Linked DNA regions of Nothobranchius furzeri. The protein of the gene in region 3 interacts with the protein of the main gene of each other region in a pairwise test. Links are inferred from orthologs where the notes say so. Each region holds a gene or a part of one and is shown on either strand. Other genes may lie near its edges.

Region 1 (3,378 bases), on a different chromosome or scaffold from region 3:
ACCATCAGGAAACTGTTCTAAAACCCAGAGCACTAATCCCAGGCACCAGCTTCTCTGGGCTTCATGTGGGATGAATCAGAACCTCAGGTGGTCGGACAGATCCGTATTCCAGATGTACGAGGGAAGAAATGGTTGTGAGAAACAAACAAGTCCATGAGCCCAGATGTGTGATGGTGCCACCTTGGAACAGAGCATTAATGAGGAAAAGTACAGCAGGGCCTGTAACCCTCACACTGTCCTAATGGGTGACCCCGCGAGGAGAGTTGACCATTGAGCAGGGTTGATGGTTAATCCCTTGGGTTCATGTGGCAGGGGTGAGGAGTGAGCACCACCTCACCCCTGCCACATGGATCTCAAGGGGTAAACCATCAATCCTACTTTCCTCGCGGGGTCACCCATGAGGACAGTGGGAGGGTTAAAGCCACACCTGCATCAGGAACAGAGACATCCATCAGAACTACGCTCTGCTGGCATCACAAAGCCCGGACAGGTTCTGGACCAGACTCATGACCCGTTTGAGTTTGCAGAGACAGAAAAACAAACTACTGCAGACCCTCGATGCCAGAACATCCTTTACATATCAGAGGAGTAAATATCAACATTTACAAAGTGTTTTGACTTTTGTGTTAAATGCAAGAACAAAAGAGCTGAAGACGTGGTGTCAAAAACAGGTTGGATTCGTTCTTCCTGGAATAAACTCATGTCATCATAAAACTTCCACAGGGTTTAGTTTTATTCTCATTTTCCACTCAGTCCAAGTGTCCTGCTGAATCTAACAGAAACATTCTTCTTTCTAGGATATTTATGGCAAAGCAGGAAAATAAGCAACATTTCTGATGCAAAAGGAAAAAGACGAGTTTTCTTCTCTAATGTTGAGCAACGTTTTGTTCTATGATGCGTCTCCGACTTTAAACAAACCATCAGCAGGCTAAAATAGTGTCACTGTAAAAGGCATCTTCCAAAGGGAACAGTACAAATATCAGAGGGACACCACATTTAGTCACGAGTAGTGAGGTTAGAGCGTGGAACTGAGGAGGACCTGGATCTGGAACACGGACGCTTCTTTTTTTTTTTTTGAACACGTATTAAATACACAACAGTCACTGTGCCTCCTGCTTCAGTACAAACTCACGTTGTCCCACTCTACCAGGTACTGCACTTTCCCATCTGGTGTGACACGCCTCGCCAGGATCCTCACCGCCTCCCCGCCTCCCCAGCTCCTGGCTACAGTCCCATCACCCCCTCCCATCCCCATCCCTGCTCTGCCTCCTGCTCCAACACCTCCCCCCGCGCCCACACCGGCCTGATAGGGAGGGACGTCACGCAGGACGAGGGGCTCCAGCTGCTTCTGGCCTGGCTGGTGCTGGTGGTGGTGGTGCTGGTAGAGATGGTGGTGATGGTTTCCACTGGAGTCAAAGGAATAAGGGAAGCACGCTGGTGTAAGTCTGCAGGTGTCTGCCGTGCTGGAAGAAAATAAATCAGTTTACACCATCGTGACTATTCTTTCAGACACAAATAAATAATTTGTTTATCAGATATTTAAATTTGACTTTTTTAAAGAAAGGGTAAGAGGTCATTTTCTGAAGCCTTTTTGCCATTTGTTAGAAATGCTCTCCACACACTGATGGCAACCAATAAATGAAATCATCCCAGAAAATCCTCCTCCAATAACAGTGAACGTCACTTTCTTAATGACCAATTTCACACGTTTTTTTTTCCCAACACATTTGCAGTCGTCTCTAGTTTAAATGAATGAGTCGACCTTTGTGGGGGAAACTGGCGCTTCTGTTTCAGAAACTAGAAGTGAGCCAGAGGAGAGGGGAGCGGCAGACGGCAGGTTTTGGAGTCTCATTTCCTCATATTCAGACATCTTGCCTCTGATTGGCTAACAGCGACTCTACCACTGACTCCATTTTCTTTGCAACGTTGATGTTTTGTCTTCACAAATACCTCAAGCCTGAAGAAGTTCTGCTGTTTGGTGGAGTTGCTAAAGCTAACAGTTAGCTTCTACTAGCCAAGATGTGCTCTGTTCTCTGCTGGATACTAAATCAACAACAGTCTTTCCCGTCGTGAGCCCAGATGGGTGAGTCCATGTATGCTAACTTTACCGTGTGATGTAGATCTGTGTGGCTTTTTCTCACCTAAGCATTTCCCCCTCTAATTTCTATCGGCGGCTAATGCAGGAAATAGTAGAAGACTATTTTCACATTTAGCCTGCATGTTAAACTCAAAGTGTAAGATCATACTTAAAAAAATATCAGGTAAAAAACAGTTTCTCAATTAACTTTAATGACTGGATCCTGATCCATCCATCACACTGCTCTTCTGACCTTCCCTCCCCGCTCTGCCATACCCCTCTATGTGCACTAATTGGCTCAGAGCAGCTGAAGAGGAAGTGACAGAGCTGAGCTAACTATATTAGCCAGCATACATTAGCCAGCATACTTCATTGTTATACAAAGAGATGTCCCATTCCGATATCAATATCGGAAGGAATTCGATATCGGCCCAAAAACACTGTATCGAATTATATCGGACTGCATCAAAAATCTCTGATATAAGCAGTCCGTTAAGGTTTACATTTTTGCAACCAATGGTTAAAAGAAATTGTCTTTTTTTCATACTTACTGTTATTGGCTCTTGTTCTCCGATTGAGTAATATCACTAGATTAAGCCTTTCATAAATTCCACACTACGAAATAAGTATAAGTCTGTATGATTTGTGCTGATTTCATATCGGATTGGTATCAGTCAATACTGAAGGCTGCAGTATTGGTATTGTATCGGATAGGGATGTGTATAGTGAAAGTATGGCGATACGATACGTATCACGATACAGGGGAGAAGATACAATATATCACGATTTATTGCGATACATTCAAACAACATTAGCAATTTTTTTAGACTGATTTATAGGAAAATTCAATAAACAGCCCAAACTGATACTTTACATGTTTAACGTGAGGTATCTGAACCTTAATAGAGGGGTTTACATTCCAATGGTGGAAACAAAACCCATTGCACACTGCTGCCAACTAGTGGTCAGCGTTTGAATTGCATCAAAAGAAAAGAAAATGTTTGCATGTAAATTCTTCCAAAAATTAGATGCATGGCTTTTGAACATCAATATAATATTGCAGGAAAAAATATGATACATTGCGATATCAATATTTTTGATACACGGCTTTTGAATATTGCTACAATATCGCTGGGGGGGGGACACGTTATATTGCCAAATCGATATTTTCTTACATCCCTAGTATCGGAAGTGAAAAAGTTGTGTAAGGACATCCCTAGTTATGCAGTAATGTAGGTGCAACACGTTAAGAACTAGAATGGCTTTCTCAGAAACTCCTACCCTACCTTTAATGATAATAA
Region 2 (5,214 bases), on a different chromosome or scaffold from region 3:
CTTGGGGGGTTCCAGGACTCTAGAAAGTGCTATATCAAATACAGGTCATTTACCATTTACCATTAGTCCTCATCAGTTGTGGGGCCAAGGCGACTGGTCTGGTTGTCGGGGATTAAAGCATCATTATGAATCTGAAGCGGGTCAAAGTCTGAGTCAAACTATTTATTTTGGTTTTTGCACCAAAAAACACCCTTAAAATTAAACAAATAAAACATTTTTATTTATGAGAAAGCAGCTGTCTAACTCATGCATTCCTGTTATAGTGCACATAAACAAATGAGACCTTCATGAATTTATAAATGTTATTGTGCTCACATCTGCTCAAGCACTCTAAGCAGCAGGAGCCCTGCACGCTTCTGTGTTTTAAATGACAAAAGCATTCAGAACCTTACGTGATGTCCCTGAAACTTCTCTGTACATTTCTTAAATAGTCACTCATAAATACCTCAAACTTTGTAGTTGCAGGTCTAGACAGCAGCTAAAATTAATGAAACTGAACAGGATGATGCGGTCAGGTGTTCGGAGAGCTTTTGTTCTTCCTGTGGTGCCTCTCGGTAAAAGTCCTCCACATGCTGGTGACAGCGACTCGGGCCATGAGCACCGTGATGCTGAAGTTACGTCGGTACCACTCCCTGGATTGGGGAGGAGACAGCAAATAATAAATACGATGAAGCTTGATGATGCTGTGGAGGTTTTTCCTGGGCTTTAACTAATAAAGCCTGAACACAAACAACACTGACAATAAACGTCCAAAGTGTCCGGCTCACGCAGCAGCTCGTTATGAGAAAAGCTCCACAGAGGTGTGCGTGGGGGGGGGGGGGAACGACACCCGACGCAAAAACAACTCACCTGTTATAATTTGCATGTCGGAGCTTGTTTTGGTCCAAAAAGCTTTTGTAAAACAGAGCCATCTCTTCGCTGTTCAGGGACCGCCGTCTTCCTGAGCGGAGCAAACCGACACAAAGTGGATTTCATTCAGCATTTTCACAGTCCTGACTCCATTTTCAGTTTCATTTCGTTGTTGTGTAAAAAACACCAGAACATATGTATGAGAAGCCTCACCGTCTTCGTCACGCAGAGTCAAACCTTTGGCCTTCAGATGCGAAATGATGAAAGCTTCTTTTTCCTGCAGAGACTATATCAATCAGTTGTGTTTTTGGAAAAGTCTGTCTATTCAAATGAATCCAAAGGCAAGTTTATAACGCGGTCGCACTGATATTACATCTTTGCCTAATCAAATTCAAGCACGTTCGGGCTTAGATTTAGGATTGTGCAGCCAGATTTGATTTACATACATGCTCAAAACAGTTCTTTGTCTCATCAAGGAAATAAGACTGTTCGACGTCTGCTATAATTTCAAGCACCTGTAAAAATCCTGCAAGCTGGAAGCACAAGTCATGTTACACTTCCCTAATATGAACACGTGACCTCGTACGGCAGGTGACCGTAGCCTCCTAAGGACACTGTACCATACCTGATACCATCGACTCATTTCACTCCAAAGAAAACTTTCCAAAGGATTTTCTCCATTGAGCTTTGCTGCCACCTGCTGGTGACAACAAAGAATTGTAAGCAGCATTTTAACCTTGCTAAAGCTGATGTTCTGCTTGGTCCAAAACTCATGGTTCCAGTCTTCCGTCTCCTGCCTCAGCATCCTCAGCCGCTTCTCCAGATCGGATTCCTTCTCGGGGATGTGGTACACGATGGGACGCAGATTGGACAGAGGGTTCGGTGGACCGATCCAGTCATGTGTGGAGCTGGGCTTGGGCCTGAAGGTGGACCGCTGCATTTCAAAAACAAAATACAAAACTGTGAAGGTAAATTAATGTCAGTCTGGGACCAACACGGTAATTAGACGTGTTCCAGCCAAGCTGCTGCAGCTAGCCACTAGGAGGCTATTTAGGGTGTCTGTTTCTGTCTCCTACCATGAAAAAGTAGGGTGGTGTGGAAACTGTCTACTAATCCTGAGACAAGTAAAGGCTTAAACACATTTATCTGTGCTTTAACTGTTGAAGAGCTGGTCCTGTCCACAGATGAACGTCACAGAGCTGAACTGAGTCAACGCCACACGACAGCGAGCTTATCAGAACCAAACAGGCATCACGATGAAAGCAGCAAGGAGAAAAACACGATCCCAGACCCAGAGACCAACGCAACGGTACGGAAAAAACAGATAATTGTCAGAAATATTCTAGACATTTTAAATACTGTGAATACTATGATGCTCTGGGACATTACTTAGGAAAAAATAGAATAGTAAAAAGGACACAAAAACAGAAATGTGCATCTGGGTATGGTACTGAATGTACTGATGTTAGCATACAGGTCGTTCTCAAAAAATTAGCATATTGTGATGAAGTTCATTATTGTCAGTAATGTACTGATAAACATTAGACTTCCATATATTTTAGATTCATCACACACAACGGAAGTAGTTCAAGCCTTTTATTGTTTCTAATATTGATGATTTTGGCGTACAGCTCATGAAAACCCAAAATTCATATCTCAAAAAATTTGCATATTTCATCCGACCAATAAAAGAAAAGTGTTTTTAATACAAAAAAGTCAACCTTGAAATAATTATGTTCAGTTATGCACTTAATACTTGGTCGGGAATCCCAATGCGGCGTGGCATGGAGGCAATCAGCCTGTGGCACTGCTGAGGTGTTATGGAGGCCCAAGATGCTTCGATAGCGGTCTTAAGCTCATCCAGAGTGTTGGGTCTTGCGTCTCTCAACTTTCTCTTCACAATATCCCACAGGTTCTCTACGGGGTTCAGGTCAGGAGAGTTGGCAGGCCAATTGAGCACAGTAACACCATGGTCAGTAAACCATTTACCAGTGGTTTTGGCACTGTGAGCAGGTGCCAGGTCGTGCTGAAAAATGAAATCTTCATCTCCATAAAGCTTTTCAGCAGATGGAAGCATGAAGTGCTCCAAAATCTCCTGATAGCTATTTGCATTGACCCTGCCCTTGATAAAACACAGTGGACCAACACCAGCAGCTGACATGGCACCCCAGACCATCACTGACTGTGGGTACTTGACACTGGACTTCAGACATTTTGGCATTTCCCTCTGCCCAGTTTTCCTCCAGACTCTGGCACCTTGAGTTCTGAATGACACGCAAAATTTGCTTTCATTCGACAAAAGTACTTTGGACCACTGAGCAACAGTCCAGTGCTGCTTCTCTGTAGCCCAGGTCAGGCGCTTCTGCCGCTGTTTCTGGTTCAGAAGTGGCTTGACCTGGGGAATGCGGCACCTGTAGCCCATTTCCTGCACACGCCTGTACACGGTGGCTACGGACGTTTCTACTCCAGACTCAGTCCACTGCTTCCGCAGGTCCCCCAAGGTCTGGAATCGGTCCTTCTCCACAATCATCCTCAGGGTCCGGTCACCTCTTCTCGTTGTGCAGCGTTTTCTGTCACACTTTTTCCTTCCCACAGACTTCCCACTGAGGTGCCTTGATACAGTACTCTGGGAACAGCCTCTTCGTTCTGAAATTTCTTTCTGTGTCATACCCTCTTGCTTGAGGGTGTCAATGATGGCCTTCTGGACAGGAGTCAGGTCGGCAGTCTTACCCATGATTGTGGTTTTGAGTAATGAAGCAGGCTGGGAGTTTTTAAAAGCCTCAGGAATCTTTTGCAGGTGTTTAGAGTTAATTAGTTGATTCAGATGATTAGGTTAATAGCTCGTTTAGAGAACCTTTTCATGATATGCTAATTTTTTGAGATAGGAATTTTGGGTTTTCATGAGCTGTATGCCAAGATCATCAATATTATAGACAATAAAAGGCTTGAACTACTTCAGTTGTGTGTAATGAATCTAATATATATGAAAGTCTAATGTTTATCAGTACATTACTGACAATAATGAACTTTATCACAATATGCAAATTTTTTGACAAATGTTTGCATGTAAATAAATTCTCTCAAAATTTAGATACACGGCTTTTGAATATCGATACAACCATTGCAGGAAAAAATACCACGATATATTGCCATATCGATATTTTCTTACATCCCTAATCGAAATTCTGAATCATTAGATTTGACTGACAGGTACCATGAGCGTCAGAGCCCGTCAGTCAAATCTAATGATTCAGAATTACAATCCCTGGAACTAAAGATGGCTGATTGTCGGATCGGGGCCATATTCACTGAGATCAAAAGCTATTTCAGTTAAAACCATCCTAATAGGTGTGGTTACATTTTAACACAGGGCCTCTCGTTTGATAGTTGCATTACGATTCTTGCATCCATTGAGTTTTTGGAGAGTTTCTGCTTAAGTTTCTTTGCAGGAAGTCAGAATCACCTCCCAGACCTCCTACTTGGATGAGATCTGCCTCTGCAGTCCACAAAGGTTAGAGGATGTTGCAAAAGCTTCCTATAGGGTTGTGGTCATGGGTTAGAGTTAAGGTTATTCTCTCCTTTTTCTGCCCACACTTTGGTTTTTGTGAAATATCGAAGGTTTTCATACCTTACCCAAGGCATTCAACTGTTTCATGCTTTTCAGAGGCAGAGATAGTTTTTCTTGCCAAGCTGGTTGAAAATGGAAAATCCTTTTCAGTAGTTTCTCCTTAATTGGGCTCACCTGGTACATCTCATCAGGTGTCTGAGACCAGAGACACCATCTAGAGTTTAAGTAAAAGCAAAAAGTCTGTCTCCTAAATAAAATGTGCCTGTAGTGTGGAACACGTTGTGTTGAGGTTCTGGGGGAGTTCTGGTCCATTCCGCTGTTCCGGTTCATTGAGGTTTTCAGACATGTGTTCCTGCTGAGTTCTCTTAAAGGGACTTTACAGAGTTTTGAATTTTTATGCTCGTGATTGCCCCCTCAGGCCAAAAGCGTAACGGCAGCTTCAATAGTAGGCTTGTGCACGAGGCGCGCATGCTGTACGTGCACGCTCCTTAACGAAAATACCGTGTGTGTGTGTGTGCGTGCGTTTGTGTGGCCCGGAGGACAGAGTGCAGCTAATTAATTAAATATTTTGTTTCTGTACCTTTCTCTTCAGCACAGCCGACAAAGGTTAATGATGGGTCAGTCCTCCTGCATGCTCAGATCATTCCCTTCCCTTGCTTGAAAAATTGTTCCAAAATGAAAGTTGAACCCACATCTTTTTTATCTGTGAATTCAATGCTGTTCGATGAGTCTCAAATAAAAATGTGGGCATCTTACTGTAAAAAAATATATCATTAATGTAAAAAATAAACTCTAAA
Region 3 (5,268 bases):
TTAAATATATTTTTTGCTTTTGTTTTTTTTTCACATTTTCTGACCATTTTCTCTCGTTTCTTAATATAAATGTTCTAATTTAGGCTGTAAAACAAGACTCATGGAGATCAACTTTAAACATCCATATGCATAAATAATGAGCTACAGACAGATTTGAAGCACGTTTAATAAGTTATTGAATATTTTTTTTACTTAAAAACTTATTTCATTGTTCAGATTTACTCTAAGTTTTATTAGATTTGAAACTTTCGTAATCCGGCGTGATTTAGGTGAACACTACAATAGTAATAATAGAGGAAAACACAATTCAGAATGGAGTATACGAGTAGGCAATAAAGAAAAAAGCAGAATTTGGGTAAAAATAAATAAATGCATTTGAAGCAGATTTATTGTCTTGTGTTTGGAGCAGAGATTAGATTATTTAATTAGAACGGGGCTAGCTCTGGTGTCCAGGGATGGTTGTGTCCTCTGCGCAGTAGTACCTGGTAGTGATGTGTCGGTCGCGAACGAACCGGCTCTAAGAGCCGACTCTTTGAAGTGAACGATGGGAGCCCTCCCCCTCCCCCCCTGCCTTGGTGAAAGCTGCAGGTGATTGGTCAACATGTGTAACTGCGTGTCCAGACTGTCCACACACAGAGCAGTAGGGGCGGAGAAGAGGGAGGATCAGACTCAGACACACAGCAGAGCACATGCGGGCGGAGGGAGGCGAGCGGGAATGAGGAGGAGGAAAAAGGCAGAGAGAGGAGAGTGCGACGAAGACGGTGAGAAAATTAGCGCCAGCAGTCGGAAAGTGGAGATTTCTTAAAGTGTTCAGTTATTAAATCCATAGAAATGATAAATATTTGATACACAGCATTTTTTTACATTAGTAAATCATTTTACAAATAGTTTTGCATTATTTTGGTTATAAATGTATTCTGCGCAAAAGAAAATCTGAGGAGCCACTTGGGAGCCGAAAGAGCCGGCTCTTTTTGGTGAGCTGAGCCATTCCCATCACTAGTACCAGGACCAGAGTGAATAGGGTGTGTGTGTGTGTGTGTGTGTGTGTGTGTGTGTGTGTAAGCATGAGGGATGCATGTACGTCAGGTGGGGTCTTGGACTCCTCTCCTCTGCTGAGACATCTTGAGGTGTTACGACATCTTCGCGTACCCTCCTGCCACTTGTTCTACCGGTGGGCGGTGCCTCGGTCTGCCTGCATATCTAAATGCACTATGAATTATTATGGTATGCTTCCCAGCATAAGCAGTTACTGTTATATATCCTCATGCTGTTGGAGCAGCGATGTTTTGTCTTGTTGTATTTTTGTGTGTCTCCTTTTCACGCTCTCTCTCTCTCTCTCTCTCTCTCTCTCTCTCTCTCTCTCTCTCTCTCTCTCTCTCTCTCTCTCCAGAAGCTGATTCTTCTTCATCATTTATTATTTATATAATTCATCCTCCCTCACCTCTTCCTTCACTCTCCCCCTTTCTCTCACAGCTGTCTCTGTGTCCGAAAGTGTTGCTAATAAAGTTTTGGTGTCAGCAGTGGCTACGGCAGAAGCTGTGAGCTCCACCTGAGAGAATAAAGCTGCAAGGCTCGTCTTCAGCAGTCAGACATCAGTTCTGGTTGCTTCACAGCCGGACAGGACACGGTAAAAAGACAACAAAAGGATATTTGTATGAAATCAAGTGATAGTTATTAAAAGCATTCAAAGAAAAGATGTTTTTTGTCCAACTGCTCTTCTGTGACTATTTTATTTTATCCTTTACTTATTTTATTTTTATTTTTTTTATCTGCAACGATTTATAATAAAAAAAATTCTAACAAGTTTCGCTTCACACACTAAAATGACAGTTACCAGGAAGAGAGGCCAATCAGGGGGCAGAACGCGGGTCAGGTGACCCTGTCTCCGCCGCCATGTTTGTTATTGGCAGTGAAGCCTGATCGGACTGACGGCAACGAGGTTTGGCGGAGGTTCGGTTCGTTTTCTGGGATGAAACAATGGTCCAGACGTGCTCAGCCTATGGCTGTAAGAACCGGTACCACAAAGACAAAGATGTCTCCTTCCACAAGTAAGTTCGGCTCCGGTGTTTCTGCGCCGACTCTCGTTAGCCCGCCCGAGCTTCGGTCCGGTCTCAGAAACAGCCTCGTTCAGTCACAGCAGTCTATTCATTCATGTTTTCGTGCTGAATGAAGCAGAAGTCCGAGCAGCGGCCTCACAGAGGAACCACCTGTTCAACAGGTGTCCAGGTGTTGTAGTCCCATTAGTCTGACATGTTGGAGCAAAACCAGAGCAGCTAGTGGTTAGGACCAGTTTATTCTACAAACACAGAAACACCTCCAGTTGTCCAGACTGGTGGAGCATAAAACCAGGTGTGGCGAGGCCTCAGGCTAGATGTGGAGGGGCATCAGAGCAGGTGTGGAGCAGCAGCAGCCAAGTGAGGAGGAGCATAAAACCAGGTGTGGAGAGAACTCAGGCCAGGTGTGGAGGAGCGTCGGCGCAGGTGTGTTTCACACTTCCTGGTGTTTAGATAAACATTCAGTACTTCAGTAAAGTTGCTGTAATTAATGCGGCGTCATCGGGTCACGTGGAGAAACTCAGGTTTTTATTAAAAGTCGTTTATTTTATCGCTGGAATCATTTTGGATTTTTTCACTAAAATCTTCATCATTCTGCTTTCTCACAGATCAGCTACAGAGGCTGGTTCTGGCTCGGGTTCTGGTTCCTCCAGAACTCATCAGTCACTTTGTCTGAGTTGACGTTTGTTCATTTTCATCACCACCACCGTGCTTTGCTCTGATGGAGTGAGAACATGTCCTCCTTCCGGTGGAGGTCATGACCTCCATGCTAATCATCTCTGGCTGTAGAGACGGTCTGGATTTGTCCTCAGAACCAGAACCAGACCAAAGCTCCGTCATCCTCTCCTGATCTAGAGCAGACTGGACTCACAGGATGGGTCCTTTTTAGTCCACTGGACCTGGTTTCTTTTCTCAGCCTCTGATGGTTTGGGTTCCTGACGGTTCTTGAAGACGTTTCGGATCTTCTCGTGTTTCTACCTGCAGCCGTCGGTTTTACTGAGCCCAGTTGTGTTTAGAAGTAGAAGTGATGAGGTAGTTCTGTTTCACCTGTCTTCAGTGTTGGGAGTAACGACGTTTAAATATAACGGCGTTGCTAACGGCGTTCTTTTTTAGGTAACGGAATAATTTAATTGATTACTTTTCCCACTGCTGCAACGCCGTTACCGTTACCACGTGCTTGTCGAACGTTGAGCAGCAGCGTGAGGCTTTCTGACCGCCACACTTCAGCTGCAGCCAGGGAGAGAGAGGTGTCGGTAACGCACTTACAAACACGATGGTGATTGGCCGGGTGGGCGGAGACCCTCACGGTCTCAGTCGCTGCATTCTGTAGACACAACAGAGCAGTGATGGGAATAACGCCGTTTAAAATAACCGCGTTAATAAAAAAAAAGTGTTCCTGTAACGAGCAAACTAATTAATTACCGTCTTCTTTTATCAAAACGTCATTTCTGTTACTGATAAGGAAATGCGTGCGTTAAGCAGCGCGGTGTGTTGAAGCTGTCATCAGCTGATCAGGAGCTAAAGAGGTAGATGTTTTCATCCAAGAGCATCACGGACCGTGAAGAACGAGGAAGACGTGATGAATGATTCGCTGCTGCAGTAGCGAATCTGTGGGTCTGCAGCCGTGCTCTTAGCGTGACAGCGGGACGTCCCGAAGGTCCGCTCACCTGTTCACCTCTCAGACGTCCTGATCTTCTACCTTCCTAGATCATCCAGCTGTAACCTGTTTCTGATCATGTCTTTAGTCCCGCTGTAACACTGATGCATCAGTCTCAGACGTCATGGAGCTCAGGTGTTATCAGAACTACCTGTGTGTGTTTACCACCCAGCTTCAGCTCTTCTGTGGTTGGGTCTGACCCAAGTTAGTAAATGTAAGTCCTCCATCAGGCTTGTGCCTCTTCTAGTGTCATTTTAAAGGATTTTATTTATTTATTTAACCGTTACTAGATTACCTGCAACAGAAATGCTACTAAAAACACACAATTATGTGAAGCTGGAAAAATTAAAATACCGTAGAAAATTACATTTATTTCTGTAATTTAACTAGACTGAGAGACCATTTAAAGGCTCGGGAACCTTTACAGGTGTTTCTATTTGCAATTTTAAATGTTAGCTGATTGGGTTTTTGTTAAATATCACACAGAGACCTTTTAATAGTCTAGATAAGTGTAATGTTCCTATTAGTAGTTCCTCCTGTTAAGTGCTTATTTATTTAAATTATTCAGGTTTTATTATGTTCCAGTCATTAGTCATTTATATTTCACTATTATAGTAATTCTTGCATTCTTTAATGAAAAAAGTAACTAAGTAGTTATTTTTCTTGGTAATTAGTTACTTTTATAATCTTGTAACTGAGTTACTTTTTTTGACAAAGTAATCAGTAACTATAACTAATTGCTTTTTAAAGTAACGTTCCCAACACTGCCTGTCTTCATCTGAATGACGTTCCTGTGAGGACTTCACTTCCCCAGCTGTTGTACCATTTGACGTGTTTTCCCAGGTTTCCTTTGGCCCGTCCAGATGTTTGTGGGAAATGGGTCGCTGCCATGAGGAGGAACAACTTCAAACCCACCAAGTACAGCAACATCTGCTCCCAGCATTTCACCAAAGACTGCTTCAAGAGGGAGTGCAACAACCGGGTTCTCAAGGAGAACGCCGTCCCGTCGCTGTTCACCTTTACCCTCAGCATGAAGGTCAGAGTCCCAGTGTGGTTCTGGTTCTGGATGTGAATGTTTTGGGCCCTGAAGGCTTTAACCCTGAGACTCTGAAGTGTGGTTTAAAATCCCAAATCTGTCTGGTTTCTGTCCTGCAGGCCGAATCTTTGGAAGACCCGTTTCCCCCAGAGATCCACTTACCTCTCTCTCTGCCTCTGACCTCTGACCCGACCCTGGAGGAAGAGGAGGAGCCTGACAGGAGCGCCGCCGATGCCCAAAGCGACACAGCGGTGGTCTCCTGCGATCACAACTACACGGCGGAGGACTCGGCGCAGCAGAAGAAGCGCATTGAGCAGCTGGAGGAGCAGGTGGAGCTGCTGAGGAAGAAGCTGAAGACCACGCAGCAGAAGTGTCGTCGTCAAGAGCGACAGCTGAAGCGGCTGCGGGCGGCCTGCCAGGCGCCCAGAGCGAGCCGAGAGCCGGCGCTGACGCTCGGATACGTGGCTTTACCTAAACACGCTAACCACTCGGAGTAACTCTGAGATTAGCTCACCGGACCT
Region 4 (5,366 bases), on a different chromosome or scaffold from region 3:
AAAAGATTTTCACATTCGTAAAATAACAAAAAATGTCTGAAATGTTGGTTCTTTGCAGCTGTCCTGTCTCTGAGATCATATGAGATGATTTTCTGCAAAAGTACATGTTTTCAAACAAATGTATTGGAGATTTAGCAGTAATACCCTTATTTATGTGTCTTCTTTAGCCAATAATAGCTTATTTGAAACACATGTAAACACCAGTTGATGCAACAACAAAAAAAAAGCATTTATTGCAAACACATTAAAATTGAATTTAAGTACTTTTTACTGAACAGTTTTTAACCCTTTAGGCCCAAGGCCTTTTTTCTTTGGGCCCTGGCACCTCCCAGTTGGGGGCCTTTGGAGTTCCATGTCCCAAGTCCCCGAGCACAACTACAGCTACTATCAAAACTGTTTAGATTGTAAACAAAGTAATTTTTGGATTTTGATACATTAAGATAAAATAATACTTGAACTGTATGTTAGAAGAGCTGCCCTGTGTGAAAGTGCTGACAGGATGGAGGTTGTGAGTTCAAATTCCATTTAGGAAATGTTGTCAATTGTTTTATTTATTCCAGGGTCCTCAACTAAATGTGTTCAAGGGTTTTTTCCCAGCAGACACCAGAGAAGGTCAGATGCTCTTCTAAAATAAAGTTCAAAGATCGTTGTATCTTAATTTATTACCATTTAAAATGGCCTTGTTTCCCATCTGGGCTGTTTGATTGTGGTTTTAGTTGTGTTTGGAGAACGTGGACAGTTGTAGATGTTTGGGACATGAAACTGTAGAGGCACCCAATTGGGGGGCGTTAGGGTTAAACAGGCTAAGATACATTTAAATCTTTTTATAATTACTTTTTTAATTGACTTTCCAATTAATCTGTAACAACAATTTAACTGATGGAAAATGTGAAGCTGTTCTACTATCACAGTACAAAAGAAACAAGAATCAAATGTAAATTCACTAAGAGTCTTGTCTAAAAACAGACAATAACCAAGAAAATGGTTTCACTTCTCATCAACTGCCACTAGATGGAACTGTTAAGTCACAATTCTGTTTAAAGTGGTACAAGTTGAGAAATATGAACATAAGAATTAAAATATCATCTTTATGAATAAAAAAATCTTTTACATCCAAAAATGAATGACTAGAAATGACCACACCACAGCTATGAAACTTCTTTAAAATATTTCAATATAGTAAATTATAGGGATGTAAGAAAATATCGATATGACAATATATTGTGATATTTTTTCCTGCAATATTGTATCGATCTTTAAAAGCCACATGGAATTTACATGCAAACATTTGTGTATTTTCTTTTCTTTTGGTGCAATTCAAACGCCGACCACTAGGTAGCAGCAGTGTGCAATGGGTTTTGTTTCCACCATTGAAATATAAATCCCTTTCTCTATTCCACCTTCCTCAGGATGCACTGATTTCCCTCTTTCCTATTCACTCTCTCTCTCTTTCTTAACATTTTTTTTAATCACAATTGTCTATTTTTTGCTCATTTTAAATATATTTTTAACCATTTTCTAAATTATTTTTTATATTTTTACATTTTTTGTTTTTGTGAAGCGCCTCGTGATTTTTATCTTGAGAGGCGCTATAGAAATGATATTTTCTTCTTCTTTATAAGATACCTTATATTGAACATGTTACATTTCAGTTTGGACTGGACTGAGTTTCCCTACAATAAATTCTGTCAAAAAAAAATGCTAATATCATCTGGCTGAATGTATCACAATATATTGTGATATATCGAATTTGTCTCCCCTGTATCTTGATACGTATCGTATTATCAGAGTTTCACCAATACACATCCCTAGTAAATTATCAGATTACTTACTTCTTTTTTGTTTTCTTTTCACTGGAAGCTTCTCCTCCAGGTCTGTGATGTGGAAAAATCACAACATTATATATAGTTCAGTCACTATTGATAAAATCATTTGTTTGTATTTTTATGTATTTTAGTTAAACAAATTCAACTTCTATTTGAGATCATTTGAAACACTGTCAAAATTTAAGAATTATTTATAAATCTAATTTCACTGTAAAAACTGAGTTCTCAGTTATAATTATCATTTTTTGTGGGTTTATTTATGCACAGTTAGGCTGGGCGATCTAGCCTAAAATCAATATCACGATATATTGAGGATTTCACCTTGGTATGCGCAGAAACAAAAGTTGTCCATAAATGGGGCTGTCACATGTATTACGTTGAATCAAATTTTTAAGTCACTCAAGGTTGCACAGCTTCTTAAAGGGACATGGATTTTGCCAACCTACACACATCTTTTCATTTTTTTATTATCAAATTTAATGACATGGGAACATTTATCGATAAGAGTCAGAAATTTCAATAACGATACATTTTCGATTTATTGCCCAACCCTACATGAAGTCCAGGTGTAAATGACTTGTCCTTCAAACTGTCAGAGATGACTCACCCTGTGATGCTGAGAGGTTTGTTTTCTATCTCCTTCAGCTTCTTTTTCATTTCGGTTGTTCTTGACGGTCGGTGCAAATATTTCCGTTTCCCAGTGCACTCGTAAGTCCAGTGTCCCATCTCCAAGCACTTCTGACAACGCACATTTTGTTTGTTTGCCTCCCTGTAAGCAATAAAAATAAATAAATACCTTCCAAACAGGAAAAAATACATAAACTACAGAAGTAAGACATTTGCACATACATGTATTTGTTGTCAGATTACTTAAAATTAATAATGAATGGAACAAATGATTCCAGTATAAATTATGAAAAAAATGATGGCTGCCGTAGTTTAACTCCACCAGCAGGTGTCACTATAAGCAATGAATGATGCATCGAAGACGTGAACCTCTGGGCAAAGAAAATAGTTGAGAAGCTACACGAAGCTTTATGTAGCCATCTCATAATTAATACACTAGTAATGAATACTTCATTTTAAACTCAGAAACTCGCAGGTGTTCCACCAAAGAAACTGAAACCCCACCAATAATCACAAATTATCAAAACTCTGCCCAAGTCCCGATTCTTCTCAATACTTTGATCCGACTATTGGTTATAACTATATTGACATTAACATCGATGTAAACAAAATTATTTTTTACTTAAACTGGGGTATTATAAAAATAAATAACAGCTTCAGAAGAGTACAGTTTCACACAACGTAGCGCTTCGTAGAGCCGCGGGATGCCCGTCCCTCCAAGTTCGTTCTTTACAGGCTGAATGTAAAACTGTAGGTCAGCTATAGACCGCACGTGGTAACGTAACAAATGTAGACACAAAATATACTAAAATAATATTGCTACGCTAAGTTTAAAAATGTTTTACTCACGCTTGTCTTCTCGCTATTATTCTATGCATGGGAGTCGCCATGTTTGAAGTCTCTTCTTCGTTGGTGTCAGCTCAGGGCCTATTTCCGGAAATGTAAAGGAGTGAAAAGAATACGTAACCACCCGTGTCGTCGCCATTTTGGATGGGTCTCTTCATTCTCCGAAGGCAATGCAGAGTACGCAACTATGCCCGTTTTTGTGCATCCCACGGTTACAACAACCCGCGTACAATTGTAAATAGATCATGTGGGATTACTATAGTGACTTTTCTAGCCTACCTGATAGGATTTTAGATTTGTATTTGTTTATTTATTTTGTTTAATTACACTGACAGACACACTGACAGAGGCAGACTCGCCTCTGGTAGTGTGCCGAATGGAGACTAAGATGGCAGCCGGCCACTTCGGCAGCTCCAATAGGCAGCGCCATCCCATGAGGTGTCTACGTATTTACTCTTTGTATGGGGTGACACTGGCACAGGAGTTAAGTGCTCGTCCCATAATCGGAAGGTTGCAGGTTCAAGCCCCACTCAGTCTGTCGCTGTTGTTGTGTCCATGGGCAAGATACTTAACCCCCCTTGCTTGCTGATGGTGGTCGGATGGACCAGTAGCGCCAGCGCTCGACAGCCTCGCCTCTGTCAGTGTACCCCAGGGCAGCTGTGGCTAGAATGTAGCTCATCGACCAGACCAGGGTGAGCATGACTGTGTTGTAAAGCACTGTTACGTCCCCGACAGGAGGTGTTAAAATGTGAAGGAAGGGGAACACAAGAAACATGATAGTGGGTTTAAAATGGGTTTAATTGTTATAAAAGGTTCTAAAAACAAGTGCAAACAGATGGTGAGCATTGTTTAAAAAATGCCAAACAAAAAAAAAACTCTCAAAAAGGTTAACACTAAAAGACCAATTACCAACATTAAAAACACCTGGTTAAAACTTATATTAAAAGTTTTACTGAACAGAAAGTGTTTCCAAAATCTTCAAGTTGATAGTAAAATCTGACACACTAGAAAAACACTGAGTGTTTTAAAATCCCAAAGTCAGTAAACTACAACGTTAACCTTAAAACCAAGTCAACCAAGTTGACATCAAACAAAGATCCCTTTGGATCACTCAGAGTTAAAACTATTAAAATTAAGACTCATCAAAATGAAGGGGTTGAAACCAAAATGAGGCATGAATAACAGCTTAGCCCCTGCACTGCTGCCTCCCAGACTGCTGAAGGCACGGCCTTTTTATCCCAGGTGTAGGTCACCAGATGATTTAGCTCAGCTGTGCTCCTCAGCAGCCTGGAAGAAAGGAGGAAGAGGGGCGGTGCCTGGCTGATCACCGAGGCTGGGTGATCCTGGCTCCTGCACCTGAAGAGGCCAGGCTGGTGGCCACAACAAGCTCCTTGGGAGGTTCCAGGACTCTAGAAGGTGCTATGTCAAATACAGGCCATTTACCATTTTACTTTGGTGCCTGTCACTATTTAACAGGCACTCAACCCGTTAGAGAATGCTCGACTTTCAATTTGTTTAAAGGCAAATGTTAAAAACTGGTTATGGACAAATCAAGTGTGTGATCATGTACGAGTTGTATAGTTTTGATGTTTTATTTGTGAATAGAATGGCGTAGGTTTGGTGATGGAGTTTTGATTATGAATGAATGATGAATTTTCATGAATCATTATGTCTTTTTATGTCTAAGGACAACAGATGGAAATTAGCCTTTGGCTATAATCTGGCATGTTTACATTCATGTAAGCTGCATTTACATTTATGTTCATTAACATGCACTGTCCTAAATAAATAAATAAAGAGCACTTTTCCTGGTATGTGTGGGGGGTGTCTGCTCTGTTTCCTCGATCCTCAGTGAGTCGTGGCGGATGGCAATTCCTACTGAGCCAGGATCCTCTGGAAGTTTTTCTTGTTAAAAGGGAGTTTTCCACTGTCGCTACTTGCTTAGTATGAGGATTGCTGTAAAGTCACTGACACCAGTCAGTGACTCCATGCAATTTGCTAGGTTCCTTATATAGGAAACTTTTTACTGATTGGCTTAATGAACTGAACCGCTTTAGAATGTTTACT

Evidence for each region.
Region 1: the proteins of thap1 (region 3) and phf1 interact in binary tests that used the Homo sapiens proteins (3 or more experiments, as listed by UniProt). The two-hybrid records come from large-scale screens. The link is inferred for Nothobranchius furzeri from reciprocal best matches to the Homo sapiens genes THAP1 and PHF1.
Region 2: the proteins of thap1 (region 3) and bag5 interact in binary tests that used the Homo sapiens proteins (3 or more experiments, as listed by UniProt). The two-hybrid records come from large-scale screens. The link is inferred for Nothobranchius furzeri from reciprocal best matches to the Homo sapiens genes THAP1 and BAG5.
Region 4: the proteins of thap1 (region 3) and zcchc10 interact in binary tests that used the Homo sapiens proteins (3 or more experiments, as listed by UniProt). The two-hybrid records come from large-scale screens. The link is inferred for Nothobranchius furzeri from reciprocal best matches to the Homo sapiens genes THAP1 and ZCCHC10.

Annotation. Positions count from the first base shown.
Region 1 is NC_091745.1:62,275,081-62,278,458, forward strand, and holds the end of phf1 (PHD finger protein 1), read right to left. Parts: intron 1,464-3,378; coding exon 1,118-1,463; 3' UTR 983-1,117; downstream 1-982. UniProt on the Homo sapiens protein: Polycomb group (PcG) that specifically binds histone H3 trimethylated at 'Lys-36' (H3K36me3) and recruits the PRC2 complex. Involved in DNA damage response and is recruited at double-strand breaks (DSBs).
Region 2 is NC_091758.1:10,654,307-10,659,520, forward strand, and holds the start of bag5 (BAG family molecular chaperone regulator 5), read left to right. Parts: upstream 1-1,783; 5' UTR 1,784-1,817; intron 1,818-2,015; 5' UTR 2,016-2,105; coding exon 2,106-2,158; intron 2,159-4,224; exon of another isoform or gene 4,225-4,360; intron 4,361-5,214. Other genes in the region: coa8 (cytochrome c oxidase assembly factor 8), read right to left, coding at 512-632, 850-940, 1,063-1,126, 1,586-1,783. UniProt on the Homo sapiens protein: Co-chaperone for HSP/HSP70 proteins. It functions as a nucleotide-exchange factor promoting the release of ADP from HSP70, thereby activating HSP70-mediated protein refolding.
Region 3 is NC_091746.1:71,096,662-71,101,929, reverse strand, and holds the start of thap1 (THAP domain-containing protein 1), read left to right. Parts: upstream 1-1,862; 5' UTR 1,863-1,977; coding exon 1,978-2,048; intron 2,049-3,790; exon of another isoform or gene 3,791-3,923; coding exon of another isoform or gene 3,924-3,925; intron 3,926-4,554; coding exon 4,555-4,747; intron 4,748-4,866; coding exon 4,867-5,244; 3' UTR 5,245-5,268. UniProt on the Homo sapiens protein: DNA-binding transcription regulator that regulates endothelial cell proliferation and G1/S cell-cycle progression.
Region 4 is NC_091750.1:56,825,970-56,831,335, reverse strand, and holds the start of zcchc10 (zinc finger CCHC domain-containing protein 10), read right to left. Parts: upstream 3,429-5,366; 5' UTR 3,344-3,428; coding exon 3,303-3,343; intron 2,596-3,302; coding exon 2,434-2,595; intron 1,875-2,433; coding exon 1,833-1,874; intron 1-1,832.